2 linked regions of the Struthio camelus genome follow. The protein of the gene in region 1 interacts with the protein of each later gene in a biochemical or structural test. Links are inferred from orthologs where the notes say so. Each region holds a gene or a part of one and is shown in the gene's direction. Other genes may lie near its edges.

Evidence for each region. The genes of interacting proteins can lie anywhere in the genome.
Region 2: of the proteins of LIMK2 (region 1) and ROCK1, one has a biochemical effect on the other in vitro, tested with the Homo sapiens proteins (2 studies listed by BioGRID). The link is inferred for Struthio camelus from reciprocal best matches to the Homo sapiens genes LIMK2 and ROCK1.

The regions. Positions count from the first base shown.
Region 1 is NC_090958.1:8,181,564-8,191,150, forward strand, and holds the start of LIMK2 (LIM domain kinase 2), read left to right. Parts: upstream 1-4,930; 5' UTR 4,931-5,118; coding exon 5,119-5,134; intron 5,135-8,760; coding exon 8,761-8,860; intron 8,861-9,587. Other genes in the region: E3 ubiquitin-protein ligase RNF185, read left to right, coding at 816-933, 2,031-2,128. UniProt on the Homo sapiens protein: Serine/threonine-protein kinase that plays an essential role in the regulation of actin filament dynamics. Acts downstream of several Rho family GTPase signal transduction pathways.
Region 2 is NC_090943.1:120,256,209-120,266,536, reverse strand, and holds the start of ROCK1 (rho-associated protein kinase 1), read left to right. Parts: upstream 1-6,521; 5' UTR 6,522-7,678; coding exon 7,679-7,771; intron 7,772-10,328. UniProt on the Homo sapiens protein: Protein kinase which is a key regulator of the actin cytoskeleton and cell polarity.

The DNA.
Region 1 (9,587 bases):
TTACAGGACACAGACACCGAGCTCTCCGGAGTTAAAGATGACAAAACTGCTTAAGATTTACATACAGTTGGTTCTTACCACTGCTTTTATATGTTGCGATTCATCTTGACACAGATGACTTATCTTTTGACTTGACATGGAATGTTGCTCTGGACCCCCTATGGGTCCGTGTTGTTGCATCTTCTGTTCTTTTATCCTGTCCTGCAATCCTGCCCCAGATGACTTTATATGCCAGCTCAGGTACGGGCTCCCTGATACTTTTTTGGGTATTGTTCTTCCCTATAATGCTCCAGGCATCCCACTTGCAATTTATCCCTTTACTGAATGTTTAAGTGATGCATGTATATCAGAAAAATCAATATAGGTTATTTTTCACAATGCCTTTGCTTTAGATATGGCTAATAGCTCTTAATATAGAATTGCAGTATTTAAATGTTCTAAATAGCGTTGGTAATGTTGATTTTGATATGTTGTCAGATATATGCTGGTTTTAGGTTGAGAAATTACAGAAATGCTTTGGCTAATTTGTGGCCTTCAAGCAAGAACTGCAGTTCCTGGTTTCCTTTTTCTCAAACTTTTGGGTTGCTCTGGGAAAGTTGCTACTGTGTGAAACACTTTACAACCAGGAGAACTAGGGAGGTAGGTAACAATAGCGTGGCAAACTGAAAGTTGTCAGACAGCATGCCAATCCTTCAGCCTTAGGAAAGAAGCCAGCAAGAGGGAACGTTTGTCTGCAGTTTTGCAAAATGTTTTTGAGATATGTTTTAAATGATTTGTAGCCTTTTTTTAATCTTCTGTTGCTTTGTTCTCTGCAGGGATTCCAGGGCTTTGGGTTTGGGGATGGTGGCTTCCAAATGTCATTCGGAATTGGGGCCTTTCCCTTTGGTATATTTGCCACAGCATTCAACATAAATGACGGGCGACCTCCTCCAGGTACTGTGCGTCCTACCTTCTAGGAGAGTCATATCATAAACAAATGTTTTACAAACTTACTTGTGACTTCTAAAAAAATAGCCTGCTAAGTGACAAAATTTCACTTTCTGGTGAAATAATTTCACTTTTTTTTTTAATTAAGAAAAAACAGTTCAGTTACTTCAAATAGTGGTCTCGTTCTCTAAAAGTTGTTTGGTAATCCCCAGAAACACACCTCCCTATCAGCACTGTAGGAATAACTGAGTCTACCTGTTTCAAACGAGAAAACCTACTGCCCAACGTTTTCTGGACTTCCTGGGTGAAAGGTTCCACCTGGTAAATTTACTTCACTCTATAATATGGGTTGAGGATACATTGTGTTTTGGCCTAGGAATTATGAGGAAAAAACCAGAAGGTCATTCTTCATGTCACATGTGTATTGAAAAGGACCTGTGTTGTCCTTGGGCCAAATGAACTTGCCTATCAGCTATACTTTGCTTTGCACTGAAAAATTGTGTGGGGTCTGCCTGAACTGAGGGGTATTTAAATGTGTGCTGATATACAGCCATCGTTTAACCAACGCTTTTATCTGCTTTTCATCTGGGGACTCAATACAGCAGTTCCAGAAAGGTCCATCCAGAGCTTTAAGCTTGTGCGCTTTTCATCAGTTCTCTTGGTCAAGGCTACACACGCAAGTTTTGACTCTGTTACCATTTGCATATGCAGAGAGATGTATTTCACCTTGAGGGGGAAGGAAGGCTGAGGCAGAGGTTGTAAAGTTCCTCAGGATGGAAACACCTGGCAACAATGAACTTAGCTCAGCTTTGTCCCCAGTACTCTGAACGGACTTGTCCGGACTTAGCACTTGGAGCTGCCTGCTCCTATTAGTCATGAGCAGGCCTACTGCCAGTTCTGCTCTGAGGAGCTGATGCTTCTCTTCCTTCTGACCTTCTGGCATGGCTAGGCAACCCAAGGATAGGAAACCTTGTCAGCAACAGTTTTTCTGCAGGTGGATTTCTTGCGTATTTTTCAACTTATGAATGTGCTATATGCAGAATATACAATATTCTGGAGAAGTTGAAAGAGCTGAACTGTTTTTTTTACTTCCTGTTTTCCAGCTGTTCCAGGGACTCCTCAATATGTGGATGAGCAGTTCCTATCCCGCCTCTTCCTGTTTGTGGCTCTGGTGATAATGTTCTGGCTGTTGATTGCATAAATCTTTTCCATTATCCTGTATATTCATGGCCAGCGAGGCCTCTGAAACAGTTACAAACTGCATCCCCTTCCCATTTTAAACCTCTTGGTGTCTGGTTCCATAGCTAATCACGGGTTCCAGAAACTGGTGGTACCACAGCACAATGAAGAATCTCGCGTTTTGCACCAGAGCTGGAAATTAAACATTGGTTTAAAAGCATATTTCAGCTCAGCTATCTTGTACAACAGGTTCCTGCCACAAACCATGGGGCTAGCTTTGAGCTCCACTTCTAAAAGGAGTGCTGCTTTTAAATCCTGTGCCAATTAGTTACAACAGGTTTACTTGAAAGACAGTTGCCCCAAGGTAGGCTGGGCAGGTAAGCAAAGTTCTGTAGTGTGATCTGTATCTCATGTTTGGCAACCACGATGGACCAGCTGGAGTTGCGGATGTTGTTTGATGTCTTCACATCAACATCTAGCCTTCTTCAGGAAGTCATCTGCAGCACTGCTGAGACTCCTTGGGCGTGACTTGTGATGCAAATGGAACCAGCTTTGGAGAATGCTTTCTTTTCTTGCTGTTATTTGATGGAGTGATGGAAAACTCCCTGCTGAAGTGGTTCCAGTGGCTGTTATAAGAAGGGATACAAGTTTATGCTGCAGTTTCTTAAAACCTGCATTTGCTGGAGCCAGACACTGGAAGATGCTCTCGTCGTGGAGCTGGCTGGGGTTGCCGAACAGTACACACACCTGTCTGCCTCACCCAAGCTCAGTTCCCCGCTGACAAAACAGTGTTGTCTTCCTTGGTTCTTCACAGCAGTCTCTGGCTGCACCCATGGATAATCCCCTCACAGCCTTGTCACTGTAGCTACATTTCTTTTTCCTAAGGCTGTGAGACATTAAGCAAGATCATGTACTCCAAATAAAATCCTATTAACAGATCTGAGATCAGCTTTTTGGGGGAGAGGAATGAGGGACATTTTAAAGTGAGCTTTGAGGTTAAACTTGTCATACTGTAAAATTATGCAGGAGGGGGAATGAAATCCTACCTTTGCTAGCCACAGTGGGGAGCATTTGGAAGAGTTTCTCTGTACAGATGTGTAAAGATGCTCTGTGCCACAACAAAATGGCTATAGCGCAAGAGTCATTGCAATATCTACCAAAGATATTCATTGGAAATAATGGAGGAAACTACAACCATTTCTGTGCTGAGGGAAAAACGTTTCAGAAGGTGAGCACACAAGACTAGCCTTTTTGGAATCCTGTTGGGTACATAGCTTTAAAAAGTATTCCTGATGTATTTGTGTAGATTCTTTCAGAACAGCAGCTATGAGGGATTCCCTAGCAAGATGAACAGTTTTGATTTTTCTTCTGACTAGGCAATTCCAACTTTTTTTTTAAATTATTTTTAATTATTTTGATTCAGATCACTGATAGTCATAATAATTTCCTGCAAGATGAATATTTTGACTTCCTTGGCAGTTGACTGACAGCTGACAAAACAAATCAACTCATAGAAGCCTTGTTTAAATAGTTAGGCTTTTTCTCATGCATATGGATGAGGTTCCTGGGCAAGGCACCTTGATTAATTGTTGTGCAAGCTAACTTCTGTAATTATAAACTGTTCACTGAGGTTTAACTTGCCCGCCTCCAAAATTCCACGTGGCAAGTACAATTTTGCAAAGCTTCTGCAGTGTTTTGCCACATCCAGTCGAGTTTATACCTGACTTGCTGATAATCTGGCAGAATATCTCTCTCAACTATAAATAGCTGAAGCAATGCTTCAACTTTTGTTGTGTGGCACTTTTGAGAAGCTTAACTTCTTTTACATCTGCTTCTTCTCAAGTGCGTAACTCGGGAAGTAGGACCCTTTCTAGGAGAAAGGCTATTTATTGCATTCCTACAAGCAACCGGCCATAGTTTGTAAAAAACGTCGCAGCTTTGACGGGCTTTCGTGAGCAGGCAGCACCACCTGCTGATGAAAAGGAAAAGTTCTCGTGGTTGTACAAGGGAGGGTTTTCCTTCTCCCCGAGTACCGAGAAACTGGGTGCCGAGAAGGAGCTGCGGTTACCCAGGAAGGAGTAGGGTATCCCTTTAAAGCCTTTTTCCTACAAGGAGGACGGAAAAGTAACTGTCGTAGGCTCAAAAGAGGTATTAATCGAGATTTAACTAACACTTATGTTTTAAAATACAGAATTTTTAATGGTTTGGGGGGCGGGGTGTTGCCATCTACTGGTGAGAGAAGCAATGGCTTTAGACTGAGGTGGCTGCAGAAACATGACTGAGAGTCCTTAATTTCCAGGCAATCCAAGAATGAAATAGTCTAAAAGTGTTAATGCTTTTGTTCTTACCTTTCTCTCGGTGTGCTTTTTGTATTGTAGCACTTTCCCCTTGTACTGAGACCGCACGCGGCCCCTAACGGCTCGCTTAGTGCGTCACCGTTACTGTTCACTAATTTTCACTGTTGTGAAAGTGATTTAGAATAAAAAAAATGGTTTTACATTGACCTGAGCGTCTTGGGCCTCTCTGCGCGCTCCGCCGGGGGCCCAGTCACGGCGGCTGCGCGGGGCGCGCGCGCCCCAACGGCCGTTGGTCGGTACCTGCCGCCGGGCGGGGGAGGGGCGGCCGGGCCCGGCGGCGGGGGGCGGCGGGGGGCGGGAGCCCGCCACGCCACGTGGGGGGCGGGGCCGGGGCGGGGCCGCTCCCTGATTGGCCCCGGCCGCAGGAGGGGCGGGCCGCGCCGCGGAAGGGGCGGGAGGGCGGCGGGGGTTGGTCTGCGGCCGCCGGGAGGCGGAGCGGCGATTGGGCCTGCGGGGAGGAAAAGGGCGGGGGCGGGGCGCGGCTCAGGGCCGTAGAAGCGAGGAAAGAGAAGTAGCAAGAGAAGGGAAGGGAGGAGGGGGTTCGCGCGCGAGCGCGCGCGCGCGCACCCGGGCCAGGTGCGGTGTGACCTACCGCGCGCTCCGTAGCGGCTGACGTCACGCGCGGGCGAGCCCCGGGGCGGCGGCGGCAGCGGTGATGGAGGAGCTGCCAGGTGAGGCGGGGGGGAGGGCCGGGCCGCGCCGCGCCTACCGTGGGCGCTGAGCGCCGCCGCCGCCGCCCTGCCCAGCCGCGGGGCTGCCGCGCCGGGCTGCGGCTCCCGTCAGGCGGTTGGGCGGCAGGTGCGGGGCTGCGCGCGGCCCCGCCCGGGCCCGCCCGCCGTCCCCGCGGCTGCCGAGCCCGTCGGCCAGGCCGGCCGCTGCCTGCCCCGCTGCTGCCCCGCGTCCCGGGGGAGGTCTGGCCCGGGCCCCGGTGCGCCGGGCTCGGAGAGGCGGCGCGGTGTTTGCGTGCCCCGAGGGTGGCGGGCTGCGCGGCTTCGCGCCGCCGAGGCCAGGCTGTCCGTCCCCGTTTCCTGCTCGCCCTTCCTTAGCGTGGTTGTCCGCCGGGACCCGGCGGTCTTGCTCGCTTTCCGCTCCCTTGGTTGCGGGGGCCTGGCAGCCCCGCTGCCGCCGGAGGGCGGCCCCGCTGGTCCTCTGCCGGGCTTTGCTGCTCGGCGGGGGGCTCCTTTCGCCGGCTTGCCGCTGGCCCTCTCTGCAACGCTCCTCCCGGCCTGCGGGACTTGGCAGACCTGTTATATTGATTATGTCTCTTTGCTTTTCCTTCGCGCTATTTCCTGCTCTGTTTTTTTTTTTTTTTTCCCTCCCACTTCCATCACTTCTCCTGGATGCCTAAGGAATTTCAGTTGAATATAGCGTTATTCATTTCCTTTTGTGGGCTAATCAGCCTTCCTGGATGCAGTTAAATTTTTCAGCTTTGCAGCTGGAAGATGACTAGTGCACAGAGTTTAGAAGTGAACTTGTAAAGCTGTATGATCCTTGTGGAGGAATGTCTGTTGCTTTTAGTTAGCAGTAGTGTAATAATTGGTCCTTCAATTTCTGGAAACAGGTTCTCTTTTCTGCTTTCACATTTGTTTCTTCTGCTCCTGGCATTAAAGGGGGGACGGGGGGGTGGAGCTGAGGGATGTGTGATTTGCAGCCTTACTTGGCTGGTAGAGTGGCAGGAATTCCAGAAGTAATTCAGCTGGCTTTGAGGACTTGTGTTACGTTACTTGGAGAGAAGTGCCCCTGCTCCCTGCCCGTTATGTCATGGGCATACGTGGACTTGCCTTTTGTTTCTAAGCCTGTTGTAGTGCACTGAAAAGCATTTCGTTTTACAGAGGCACATGTGAAGTAGTGCAAGCTTTAAGCTTTTTGTAAGTGTCTCCTAACCCTCTTCCAGCAGTGGAGATCTGAGCTCAGCTGGAATTCGCTGTGCTCCAGATAGCAGGAGGGAGCAGAAGCATTCCCAGGTATTGAGCTGAAGTGTTCTTGGGAAATGAAGTAGCAGCTTATGCCACATCTGAATGAATCCTGTCTAGCACTGTAGTCTGCATAGAGACCTTTGTGGGTACTGCTCATCCCCTGACAAGGGTGGTGCTTGTTTGTGCTTGAGCAACAAGTCCTGTCACTGAAACAGTTATCTGTGAAAATGTACGAGGACATCTTCAGCCTAGTTATTTTTAAGTGTTGTTAACTGACCCACGCAGTGGGGTAAGAATGCATAGAAGTCTAATGACTTATGTTTTGTGTAACTTCAAGGAACTTGGCCTCAATACCTATTAATGTTTAGAAAGCTATGTGAGCAAGGGGAATTTACTGTACCTTGAGCACCTCTACATAGTCTATGCTGAGTATTGAGCTTTTATTTTAATCACTAAATCTAGACTTTTTCCTCCTCTTATCTTTACTTCTCTCTTTTGGTTCCCTGCTCTATTTGTTTTAAGCTCTCCCAGGTTGTTTACCCTAGCATTTCAAGGTGATGCTTTGCCCATCCACATTGCGGTAATCATAACTACTATGTCACGATACGTACTGAATACCGCTTCTCTGGTTGCTGTCACAGGGGCTTTCATTAACTAGTCCCAGAGCCTTTTGCAATATTGATTTGTTACTGGAGCACTGAATATTGTGTGTGTGTGTCTCTCTCTCTCTCTCTCTCTCTCTCTCTTTCTCTTTTTTACTATTATTCTGATAAGCCCATAACCTAGTAGTTCTGTGTCTTTGAATTGTATCTGTTGGAGGTGGTAACGTTCTCTCAGTTTAAACCATGAAGCTAAAGAGAGACTATGAGATAAATAAATCATCTTCCCTGTGCAACTGAGGCTGGGCTTATAAATGCTAACCTGTTAACCTTCTACGGCTTTCTTCTCTAGCATCATACAGCTGACTGTGTCTGCTGTAGCTGGGTCTTTTCTGGAGAGTAAAAGTTAGCTTGGTTCTGTTTGGAGTAGGCATTTGAACCTTTTTTAAACTTGACTTGGCCATTCAGAGTCTGGGGAGTAAGTGAAAAGTGTAACCCTAGAAGTAGTGTTGGCTTTTTCTGTACTAGACTTGCATATCCTGGGTGGTTTCTAGCCTGTAGATTCTATAATAGCTGACATGAAGTTCATCTCACAAATAGCTAATGGGTAGGTGTTCTCCCTGTTTTATGTGAACTTACAGAGGTGGTAACTGTAGGAAAATGATTGAAAAGGATTTGGTCCGTTTAAGAGCTATCTTGTATCTGTATAAGTTACAGGGTGAAGTTACAGAAGGAAGCTGCTTGCATCTGACAGCTTACTGCTTGCAAGTGTGCAACTGCACCCCGTTGCAAATATTTGATACTTGCAATTGATCCCAGAGAAAAACTGTCTCCTTTAATGTATGCTTTAGGAAGAAGGGGTAATTGAGTGACTGCTGAGTTTTTCTGTTCTTTGGAAACTGGAAGTCCGTGGTTAGTGGTTTTCCTTCTCTAAGCATGCTTTTTTCTTTATGCAACCTTGCTGCAAGTAAACCTCTAGTAGCAAGAAGAAACAGGTTTGAGATCTGCCCAGTAGCTGTGTAACATGTTTCTTGCACCATCTTGTGCCCATCCAGATCCTTGGTTCTTGCTTTAAGATAGTACTTGTATCTGTTTGGATTCGGGATAGCATTTATCTTTGTACAAGAATCTTCATACAGTTTTTCTAGCTTGTATACACCTAAAGAACTAGCTGTCTCAGGGGCTTTATGGCACTTCTAGCAGAAGCTATTATAGTTCTTGGACTAGCCACGGCTTTTTCTGAAGCAATAATAGGCCAATAGCATATGCCCCTCTCCCTAAATCTGGCTCCAGTCTAGTGTTCGTTGTACAGTCTCTACTGGAATATCCATTCAAGTGTGTAATTCCTTCCTGGTAGTCGAGTTGTCCTCTGCTGAATAAAGTTTGCCTTTCCTTTCTTTCTGTTCTGGGAAATGCAGTTAATTATACAAATGAGTGCAAATGTTATGTGCTGAGTCAGTGGCATGGGGGAAACAGTAGCTTGACTTCCTGGCCTTGCGAAAAATAATATTGCTTTCTTCTGCAGAATATGAGGAAGCTGATGGTGGTGTGGGATCTTGGGGGGAGGGGGGGGGAACAGAGGGGGAAGTAGTACATTAAATGTTCATTTCAGAAACCTCTGTCCCTGGGATTACAGAGTGGCCAGTATTGGCTTAACTTTCTGTGCGTGAAGGCTTTGATGTCAGATACATAATTTGAGGATGTCTTTTGTCAGGGATGCAGGAATCCTTGTTTCCTTTGAAGTAAAATGGTTACTCTAACTCGCCTTATTCCTGCATGCAGGTGAAGAGATCTGGAGATGCCTAGGATGTGGGGACAGCATTGCTGCTGGTCAGCGCATCTACAGGACTGTTAATGAAGCTTGGCATAGTTCCTGCTTTCGGTGGGTAAAATTTTAGCCCATTAAACTCTCCTTGTGTTAATAAACTAGCTAGGAACCTGGTGGATGAAGTACCAACGTTCATAGGGAGTTAGGCTAGTGACAATATCTTGCTCTCATCTCTGTCTAAACTGCTCTGGAGCCTCTTGCAGAGCAATTGCGCTCTCCCTCTCCTGTTTGCAGCTGTACTTCAGTGCTGGCAGTAGCACTTTGGAACTGACTTTCCATTCGAATAGCAGTCTGAAACTATCTGGCAAAGTGTTGCCATGCTGACGCCAACACACCCGAGAATACAGATAAAGTACAAATGAAAGGTCTGATTTACTGGTGGTAGCAGAAGCCATGGGTTGCATATTTGTCTTCAGCTGCATTCCAAAGTAATGCCCGGACAATTTGGATAGCCTGTTGCTGTTTCCATATGTGGTACAAGAGAGATACCAGGGTGTTGCTGATATGGAGGGAGATCTTACCTTTGTGCTTTCTCTTTTTTTCAGACTACTAAGACATACAATTTAAGGCATACATACAGAAATCTCTTGGGATAATGTCGCTAGCAGCAAGGACAAAAAGGGGGTCTCTGATATGCTCTGCTTCCTGGCAGTAGGATTCATACCTCCAGTCTGTGTCCCATGAATAGTCAGTCCAGTTTTCATGCTCCAGAATCATGCTTCTGAGGGGGCCTAGATTTTTGAGAGGGGTTGAGTACCTGCAGCTTCTATGGGCTTCTTTG
Region 2 (10,328 bases), on another chromosome or scaffold:
TTATACATCTTCTGCAATTTTACCTACAGAAGGATCATACAAAGCCAACTCCATTTATTCCAGCAAAGTTATGAAACGTGTAATCTAAAGTTAATTATCTGTTAAAGTCCAAAACTGTTAAATTTTTCACGGAACCAAGATAAAAACAAAGCTTTTTATGTTTGCTTCTTGTGAAACATTAATATTTTCTAACATGAGCTAGCCTAAGGACCTCCCAACAAGTTTAGTGTACCAACAATTCTTCTGTGTTTCTGCATCGCAGGGAGAAGATAAAAAGAAATTTATGTTTGTGTTTTGTCTTATCTTCTTTAGATTCATGCTTTTTAAAGTGGAAGTATTTTAATTATTGTTTTGAAAGCACTTTGTATCTGTTTGAAACTCTGTGGATGTTCTGAAAAAAAGTTTAGACAGAATGAAAAACTGAAGTGGGACAGTTCAAAGATTCTATTTTCTAATTCCAGTTAGAGATGTTATGGATTTGACATAGTCTTCAGCAGAGCAAAGCATCCACAGGGAGCGTAGCTATTTAATGTGACATACATACAAGCACAGCCAGGAAAATTAAAGCTAGTTTACTTTTAAACTCAGTCCAGTTTGCTTTTAAACTTTTGTCTTCAGAAGAACTATCTGAGTAAGGACTGCAAAACTAATCCAACTGCGGGAAACGTGATATATGTATATGGGTAAAGTGGGAGTAAGGTGGGACGGGAGACAGAGCTTGAAATTTATTCAGAGAAAGAGTGCTTAGGAGTACGAACTGGAGAAAGAAGAAGAAAAATTACTAATCTTGTAGATAATTCATAGCTAAACAAATTAGTAACAGAAAGTCGGGTTCATGGCAGCTTAACCTGCAAAGAGGTCTATAATGAAGGTAATCACTCTACTTATAACGGGAATAAGAAAATACAAATAATTCTATGTTGTTTTATATCCTGATAGATGATACCATCAGGAGAGTTGTTTTTAGTTCCTTCTTTAATATACTCCTAACTTTCTGCAGCCTTCATTTTACAGGGTAAAGTTTTCCATGCTTCTTCTGACTGGGTTTAGTGGGCTTCTGAAGATTGCAAGCAAGAAGTACTTGGGGCAATTTTAAGCTCCAGGATAGTGAAAAAAAAGCTTTTTCCCAGGCTAAAAGAAGAATTTCTGGCATCTTAACTTTTCCTGTACCCACCAAATGGCTTCAGTGGGAAAATGGTATTTGCCACGGAAACTGTCCTTATTGAGGTATGAAGCCTTCAGCGTTCTAGTGGAATTTTGTTTTGATTTGATTTAAAATCACATTGTGAGCTTGTGCCATATATTGGTCACAGACTTTTTTTGCACTTTTAAAGCATAAAAGCAAAGGGAGCCTGCACTGTGTATGTCTTCATGGTTGATACTGGTTTGAGCCATCTGGTGACCAGATATTTACCCTGTGGATTGGTATCTATCTCTGGACTCACAGCTCCCCTCCTTTCCAGATACAGCAAAAGTTACTTTGGGAGAGCCTACGCTGAGCTGTTTATATAACTATACCCTTGTCTGCTGGCAGCAACTGCTTCTGTGTTTCCGCTGGAGCAGACAATCCGATCCAGTTCACTTCCTGGCTTGCAGCAGTTTGTTTGCAGACCTGGGCCCCTCCATCAAACTTGGCCGTTGGAAAGGATCCAAAAGGTTATTTTTTCACTTATTTCTTGCTCCTACTCCCAGAAAATGGAACAAAAATCCAGGTGCCCCATGTCTTGTTCATCACTCACTACAGCCAGGCTGCGGAGCAATTTCTCCCCGGCATTCCAGTTCTACATCTGAAAAAGTACTATGGTGCCTGAGAATGCACTCCATTGTAAAAGGAAACAGCAGTAACTGTCCTTTGGCAAGAAGCCCCAAAACATTAGGCTATAGAAGATCATGTACCTAGAACTAAAGCTAGTAACAAGCAGCAAAACATATATATTTGCACGCATACATATTGCAATGTTTCAGTGTCTTCAAATATTTGAAAAGGTACTACTTTCACTAAGTATATTCATGCTAAGGGGCTATCCTTTCTGTCTCCTATTATTCAAATTTGTTTTCTCTTCCTAGCAATTTTTATTTTATAGGTAATTTTTACTCTGTTCTGCTCTGCTCTACTCTATACTCTATTTGCTACATTTTGCCTCATCCTGGAAGAACCAAAATGCCTTCTCTTAGTGTACTGAGTGATACAACTAATACCTGTAACGTTTGTTAATATTCTCTCTCTCTCCCATTGGTAGAATTTGTTAACATGTTCACAGTTTGTGCATTTTGCAGTTTAAGCTTATGATCTTTAATTCCCTGAGTTTTTTTTTTTTTTTTCACATTGAGCTGCCGGCGTCCAGAGGAAGCAAGGGAGCTGTACTGCAGTCAATAGTGTGACTGCATTTGAAATTGGCCAACAGGCAACAGGAAGACTATAGCCAATAGAGCAACCACCTCTCAACACCTAACACAGCCTTTTCTTCAAATTTTGCAGGTACACAGATACCAGTGTTGGTGTTACTTTATCATTACCTAAAGCCAGTTCAGTATTGTCTACGTGAGCTGCCATCATTCCTTGCCTGAAATACTGAGAAAGCTCCTGAGAAAGGCCTTTCTGTCGCACAGATGAGCTTTAGTTGTGGTAGACTATTTTCCCGAAGGAGTACCTTTGCTGACCACAGTTTTCATCTCAGAGCTTTGAGCAATATTGATCTGTGCTATTGAATGCCCTAAAGACTACAGCTGAGGTGAACTTGAGTCAGTATTGCATGGCAAACATGAAGAGAGGGTGGATGACCAAAGGCAGCCTTAATGTAACGTGATTTAACTGCTGTAGGTTTCATGCTGACTAAATAGGAAGTTGAATGTGAAGGTACACGCACATTACTAACTTAGCCTAATATGGTGAGCAGGATATAGTCTCATTTGTGCCTTGTGTAACTCTTCTGAAGTCAGTAGTTACATCAGAAATCACCATATCCTAGCTTTTTCTCTCATTCTGTTCATTTAAAAGATGCACACTCAGCGACCTAAAAAATCTGGATGGCCTTTGACTTTACTACAAGGCCTTTGACTTAATCTTTCTTAGCTATTTCATGAGAGGATTGGTGTGACAATACCTGCTTCAGAGAGGGCCCGATTGTTTGCCAAGTATTCTATTGCTGTTTTATTCCTGCTTTTTATTAATTTCTTGAAATATGCACTATTTAAACTGTGATGATATCTGATCAGTCTGATTACTGTAATACAGGATGGATTACTGTAATATAAAATACTATTTATATGATAAACACTACCAAATAAGCTTTTTATAAGTATGGTTTAATGTTCTAGAGGAAGCCAATATAGTGATTCTATACTTTACTGATTTTCTTCTGTATTTATTAGGAAATTGCAGTCTTTATCAACATGCAACTCCTGAGTCAGTGTCAGTTTGTCATATTTGCATCACATTAAAACCAGGAATATTTAAATATCTTATAAAATAGGCAAGATGACATGAATGCAAAGATCATGATTCCTGCTTTGTCAAGGATATTAATGTGCTTGCTTACAGAGCATGGACATGAGGTTACACACAGTTCCTAGTATTAGAGGATATACACTTTTGGAGAGGAAAAAAAACGTTTCAGGCTTATATGCTTAATCAGCTCAGCGTTACCAGTTCATACATATGTTGAGTAGTTTTCACTTCGTTCAACAAAAGTTAGCTAAATTCCAAAGTGAAGCAAGAAATGCAGGAAGAAGAAACTACCCATTTTTAGTTTATGTGTTGTCAGAGAAAAAAATATTCCTAAAACACTGTGCTCAAGGCATTATGATTGGCTATGTATTATGGAACTTAATATTATTTCTAAGTGGCCAATTCTAGAAATATACAAACTCTTAATCTTAGAAATAGAAATAGTCTGACGGAAGTTCACAGGAATATGTGCTTTGAGATCCAAACATGGGAATGAGTGTTTGCTCAGTTAGAAATTATTATGTTACATGCTTCGGTCACACCCTGAGTTACAAAGAGAGCATTCTGTGTGTTACATCAGTCACTTCTAACCCATACCTGCTTTTAAAATTAGAATTTATTCTCCTTTTGGTCTTTGTAGACAAAGCCTCACTTTTACATTTTCAAAGCAGTGCTTACTATGAATGACATTCAGATTGTCTAAATGTCCACCTCTGTGGAAGATGGGCCGATTTTATGCTTCTAAATCTCAGAGAGGGATTCAAAACTTCTCATCTCCAGCACTGCCTAGATCTGTAGGAACCTAAAAGCAATTGGTGTCTTATTTTCCACCTGATAGTTTCCTAGACAGCTGGGTGAAGCACCTCCCACACAAATTCTATTTTAATTTTGATACAGACAGACAAGCACTTTTACTTTACCATGGTTGCTAGAAAAGCCCAATCTGATAGAAGTATTTGAAACACAGTTTACATACAGCTGAACACAAAACATAGCAGCTTCTCTCACCAGAAACACTGGAAAAGATCCTAAGGTGTATTGTTCTAGTGGCAAGATTATTCACTAGCAAATAAACGTGTGGGTTCTAGGCCCTTTTCAATCTTGACCTCTCACATTTCTGTGAATACTCTAAACAGCCATGCGAATGGGATGGGGCTTTTCACCACCTGTTGTGCTGAAGCTGGGCTGCTGTAAAAAAGTAATGCAAGATTCACAGGGCAAGTGAGAGAAAGACACATGCAGCTTTGGGAAAAGAGGCCCGGAAAGGATGAAAGAAATCTTGCGTTCCAAAGACTACCTGTGCATTTTCCCACAGTCATTGGATAAACCACATAAATACCATCTGGAGCACAGCTCACGATTTTGTCGCTCCTGGGGTGATCCTTCCCACTGAGCTACAGAATCAGGCTTCCTCTTACCTACTCTATTACAGGCCTCATGAATTTTGCATTTTTTTCAGATAGGCACTTTGAATCACCTGTTGAGGCCTGGCATCTTTCCTGTATGTATTTTAATGCCCAAACTAGGTGCCTAGAAGCAGTGTGAATTAGGCTCCGTATTTCTAATGACTGTTCTTACCCTGTTTAATATTAGAACTGTAAGAAGCATTGTATTTGTATTTTATTTGCTGCATTGCATATGAAATGGTCACAAGCCTACACAGCAGTTTGCAGAGGACCCGAGAGGTTCTCCTTGGACTGCGGCTGTTGAAATGGGACATCCGCATTTCCACGAACCACCGAACCCTCTGAATCAAAGGGTTGTGATAAAAGCCATCACAAAATGAGTGAAAGTAAACAGGAGTGTCAGGTTGTTGCAGCTTGTATTTTTGCTGTAACTGTACATACTTCTCATTTAAGGAGAGAAACAAAAATCCAGAGAGGTGTGAATAAGGAGAACTGAAATGCAGAACGCCCTTTCTTTTTTTCTCTGGATAAGGTAAGGTAGCAAATAGTGAGTATTCAAGATTGAATAGCTCAGATGCCCTAGCACTTGGATGCAGATTGTTTCATAATCGTGACCTTGAAAGTAACTCATAAGGCTAGTGACTCAGGTTTTGTTTTTGACTGGCAGTTGTTCAGTGAGCAGTGATTAATCACTTGGCATTCTCTGATTTGTAATGATTTTTGTAAAAATGTCTTTACCATTCCTGGAATTGCAATGGAAGCCGAAGAACCGAACCAGCACCGTGGCGTCTGACTTAAATTATTTAAAAATGCTACTCGAGTTTCCTTTCTGAAGGAACAGGCCCTGTACGGCAGTCTTGACATCTAAGCTGAAAACACCACGACGTGCCGCACTGGGTCCGACGTTTCAGTGCTGTACCTGTCCTTCCTGCGGTCCCGCCGAGTTACGCGTGCCTCCTCACACGCGCGGCTCTTGGCGGAGCACCAACCGCCGCCAGCGGCCGCCGGCCCAACAGCCACCTGCCCCTTGGGGGCGGCGCGCGTGCGCTCAGCGTACCGCTGCCCACTGCCGCGCTCTGCAGCCGCAGGCGGGCAGCGGCTCCCCGCCGGCAGCTCTCACAGGGACCCGCTGAAATGGCAGCTCCCTCGGGCTTTCCCGTCCGCTCCCGCGCACCCAGCTGCGCGCGTCTAACACCCATCGAAATCACCATGGGGGTGTGTGTGTGTATGGGGGGGGGAATCACAGAGGAAAGGGGAACGAGGGGGACGTTTCTTCCCTCCCTCCCCCCCCCCCGGAAGGGGCCCGCCACCACTCCGCTGTCAAACCCTCTCCCGCCCCGCCTGGCCGCGGCGGTTTTCAGCGCGCCCCCTCTCTTCCCCCCTCCCCCCCCCGCGCTCCGCCGCCGCTGATTGGCGCGCACCGCCCACTCGCGCTCGCAGTTCCCTCGGCCCCCGCCCTTTTCCTTCCCCGGTCTCGCGGGCACGGCGCGCGCACGCCTCCTTCGACCGTTGAGCGACGGCGGGGCGGGGCGGGGCGGGGCGGGTGGGAAAGGAGCGGGAGGCCGCGCGCCAGCGCCAGCGTGCGCACGCCCCCACCCCACGCGCATACCTTCTGCCGCCTTCCCCTCCCCGCCCGTCAAGAGCTGTGCCGTCAGCGCATGCGCGTTGCGCCTCGGTCCCTGCGCCCTCCCCCCCCCAAGTGTTCAAACAGGAAGGCGGACATGTTTGTGGATTTCGCAGGTTCCCTCACACCCGTCGCCGCTGCTGCCGGACCTTGTGCTCTCCCCTCCCCTTCAGCCACCTCCTTCCCTCCTCCTGCTCACGCTGCAGCGCCGGGTCCGTCCTGAAGTGGCCCGGCCGGTCGTCCCGTACGTGAGGCGAAGGCGCCGGGGAGGGAGCAGCGGAGCCGGCGTTGGCAGCGGCGGGAGGCAGTGAGGAGCCGGCGGCGGCCGCGCAGCGACGAGGAGGACGGAGGAAGATGCTGCTGCTGCCGTCGTTCCGCCGTTGAAGCGGCTCGTCCCCTGCCCGCGAGGGGCACCCGCAGCGGGGGCCAGGGCGGCCTGTGTGCGCAGCTGGCAGCCGTGCGCTGCCCGCCCGGATCAGGCAGGGCACAGCCGAGGAGAGGGGGCAGCCTCGGCCCCCGGGCCGCCCCGGGCTCCCTCGCCCCTTGCTCCATGGAGGGAGCAACCCCGAAGCGCTGAGGCACGCCGCCGAGAGGAGTTTCCTGAGTTGGTTCCCCCCCCACCCCCCTTTTATTTTTCCTGTGGTGGTGTGCGTGCAGACTGGGGCACTTTGGCTTTTTCTTTTTTTTTTTTTTTTTTTGCTGCCGCTGCTCTTTCCTCCGCTTTTTCGCGAAGAAAGCTGTGCTTCGGAAGTTGGCACCTACCTGCGGCTGATCCTGCAGGGCGAAGAGGAGGAACCGCTACGCTGGCTCCTAGGGCGGCTTCCCCGGCTGGGAAAATGAGGCTGCTGAGACACTGGGGCCCGAGTAGAGGAGGGAGGGAGAGGAAACCTGCTACAGAGTTGTGAGCAGCCCAGGAAAGTGCGTGCGCGCAGGAGAGGGGAGAAGCAACCTTGTCCCCCTTCACCCCCCAATTGCGGACTCCAAAGCACTCTCCTTTGGTTTTAACTTTCCTTTGTGGGGCAGCGTGGGGGACTTGCCTTAGAGACTTCGGTGATTGAAGGGATTTTGTAGGAAGCGCTCCTCAGCCTGTTATAGGCTGTGTGGTTTCTCTTTTGTGCTTGTTTGTTCCTGTTTTTCTTTTTTTTTTTTTTTAACCCTTGCTTTGCTGTGGAATAAGGGAAACTTTTTATCTTCGGAAACATGTCGACGGGAGAAAGTTTTGAGTCTCGGTTTGAAAAAATCGATGTGACTTTAAAGGACCCCAAATCTGAAGTGAATGTGGACTGTTTACTGGTAAGTAGCGAGCGCCGATGGGGCCCTCTGTCCCATCTCCCCGAATTTCTTACCCTGTGGGACTGAATCTCTCTCTCGTGGCTGAGTCACTCAGCTTAACTCCGTAGTGATGTCTTGTTTACCCAATACTGAACTAAAGAGTGTGTGAATCTTTCTGCCGGGTGAGTGGCTTTCCTACCAAGCAGGTGACTTCCCAGTCACCTGCCTCAGAGTTGCCATCTCACTCGTTTCGTGCACGTTTCTTTACTTCACTGGCTGTTATGAGAGGCAGAGGATGCCTTTTGTGCAAAGGTGCAATTCATGAGTGCCAGTCTTGTATGTAAGCAAAAGACTGTACATAGCTTTGATAGACCAATTTCCTGTTCTGCAATGTTTACTTTTTTTTTTGAGTGAGGTGCTCTTATGTTGTGATTAAGCACTGCAGTATTGACTTCTGACTCAGATATCAACTAATGACTTGTAAAATACGGTTCTACAGTTATAATGCCCTTACAGGTGGAGAAGTATCATGGCAGGGGTTTAAATGCATATTAAGCTCCATATGCTGAGCCAGGAATACGGGGTCTGCTACTTTTTGTTTTCCTACTTGGTCATACCTGGTGGTTCCTTGGTTCTCTCCAATGCTGTCAGTCTTGTAATGGCATCATAAGAAAGCAAGATGTAACCCTTCATTCCTCATGTAAAACCCACATCATTTGATGGTTACTTGCACAAAAGTGAGGATTATTTCGGTTCTGAGATTAAAAAGTGTCTTAACAAAGCGTATACCAAATAGTTTTGTGAATTGTTTTGTGATGTATCTGGGTACATGGTACTCCTAGAAATGCCCTTAAATAGTAGTGAAGTGTAATGTATGGTTTTATGCTGATCCAGCTAATTCATTTTCTTTGGAGCAAGTGATAAAAGTTTGTATTTTTATTTTTTATTTTGGCTTACTAGTGTTGCAGAAAGGAAACATTAAATTGAATTTGTTCCTAGTGTGAACTCTGACTTTGGGGGAGTGGAAGAAGAGGTGTGGAGGTGGAGATAGCTATTAACAGTCATTCTTCGTCTACTGTCTGGCTTTTACCATAAAGCGCACTTAAGCGTAAAAGTTGTGGAAGAGAGATTCTAATGAAAGAGTGGGTGTGGGTCAGTGGCATCTTGTGCTCTGTTTAGCTTATTACTGAGTTGTGAGGCTGTAAGTATTGACAGGTCAAACCTACCTCCATGGATAAAACCTCATGTGGCTGCTATTGGCGCTAAGGAAAGTAGCATCACATCCTGTAGAGAAGCTATTTCTTTTGAACTACGTTACGCATCTTGTGGTCTGGATGTCCTCTGAAAACCACTGCTTGTGGAACTGGTCTGATGCTTACAATGTACTTTGTTAGTTTTGATGATGCAAGACAGTGCCTCAAAATTCTGCATTTTATACCCATTGTCTGTTGGTAGAAGTCAAGAATAGAGAATCAATTAATCATCCAGAGTTAATCTTGTCTCAATTTTCTAGTATGTGCACTGAGGTTGGCCATATTGTTGGGGCTTTTTACAGCAGTAGGAGGTTGCAGATAATCAAACATGCGGTTGATAGTATTTCTAACTGTATTCCTTGATCGGTTAATCAGTTTCAGCATTTGTTCCTTTCCAGTGAATATGCGTTACAGCTTGGAGTTAAGCTGTAGTTAATTTTGGAACTGATCTTGTTGGGATGCTTCCTGTCACGCTTGTGTAAAGTTTTAGAATGTTTGCACCTCAAGTATTAAGAATATCTCTTAAATTGATTATTTCTTATGACTTTTCTGAGATTTTGGCGTACCTCAAAGTATTGCTTTAGAGGTAACTTCTTATGGTATGATCGATAGGGTGTTTTTTTTTTTTTTGGCTAGCCCCTACTTATGATTCAGGCATCAGCTGATATGTTAACTCTGTTTAGTCACTGTATCAGTCTCTGTGTTGGCTGGACTTAACTGGGCCTTGTATCTCTCCTTGTTAGTTGGTTTTAGAGTTCCTATAGCATGTAAGTATCTGCTCTAACCCTTTTTAAAGGGTTTAAATATTTGACACCAGGTCTTAGTGTGATGATTCACAAGACCAGCGTCGTTCTTGGCCCAAAGTACTACTTGCATATTAAATCCATCATAAAAATCACAGAATGCTTGAGATTGGAAGGGACCTCTGGTGATCATCTAGTCTAACCTCCCCACTCAAGCGGGGTCACCGAGAGGACGTTGCCCAGGATTGTGTCCAGATGGCTTTTGAATGTCTCCAGGGAAGGAGACTCTGCAGCCTCTCTGGGCAACCTGTTCCAGTGCTCAGTCACCCTTCCAGGAAAGAAGTTTTTCCTCATGTTCAGATGGAACTTTCTGTTCCTTCTGTATCTATATGGAGATGTTCTTAAGGGCAAAAAAAATGCCTAGGTAGAGGTGCAACTGATCTCCACTTAAAACCTCTTTCAGGATGAACTCTCTGCCTACCCTCCCTTCCACTCCTCCCCTCTCCTTCCCAGCTCCCCCACAAAAAAACAAAACAAAACAAAAACTTGTCAATCTCCAGTCCTGATGCATTAAAAAATAAA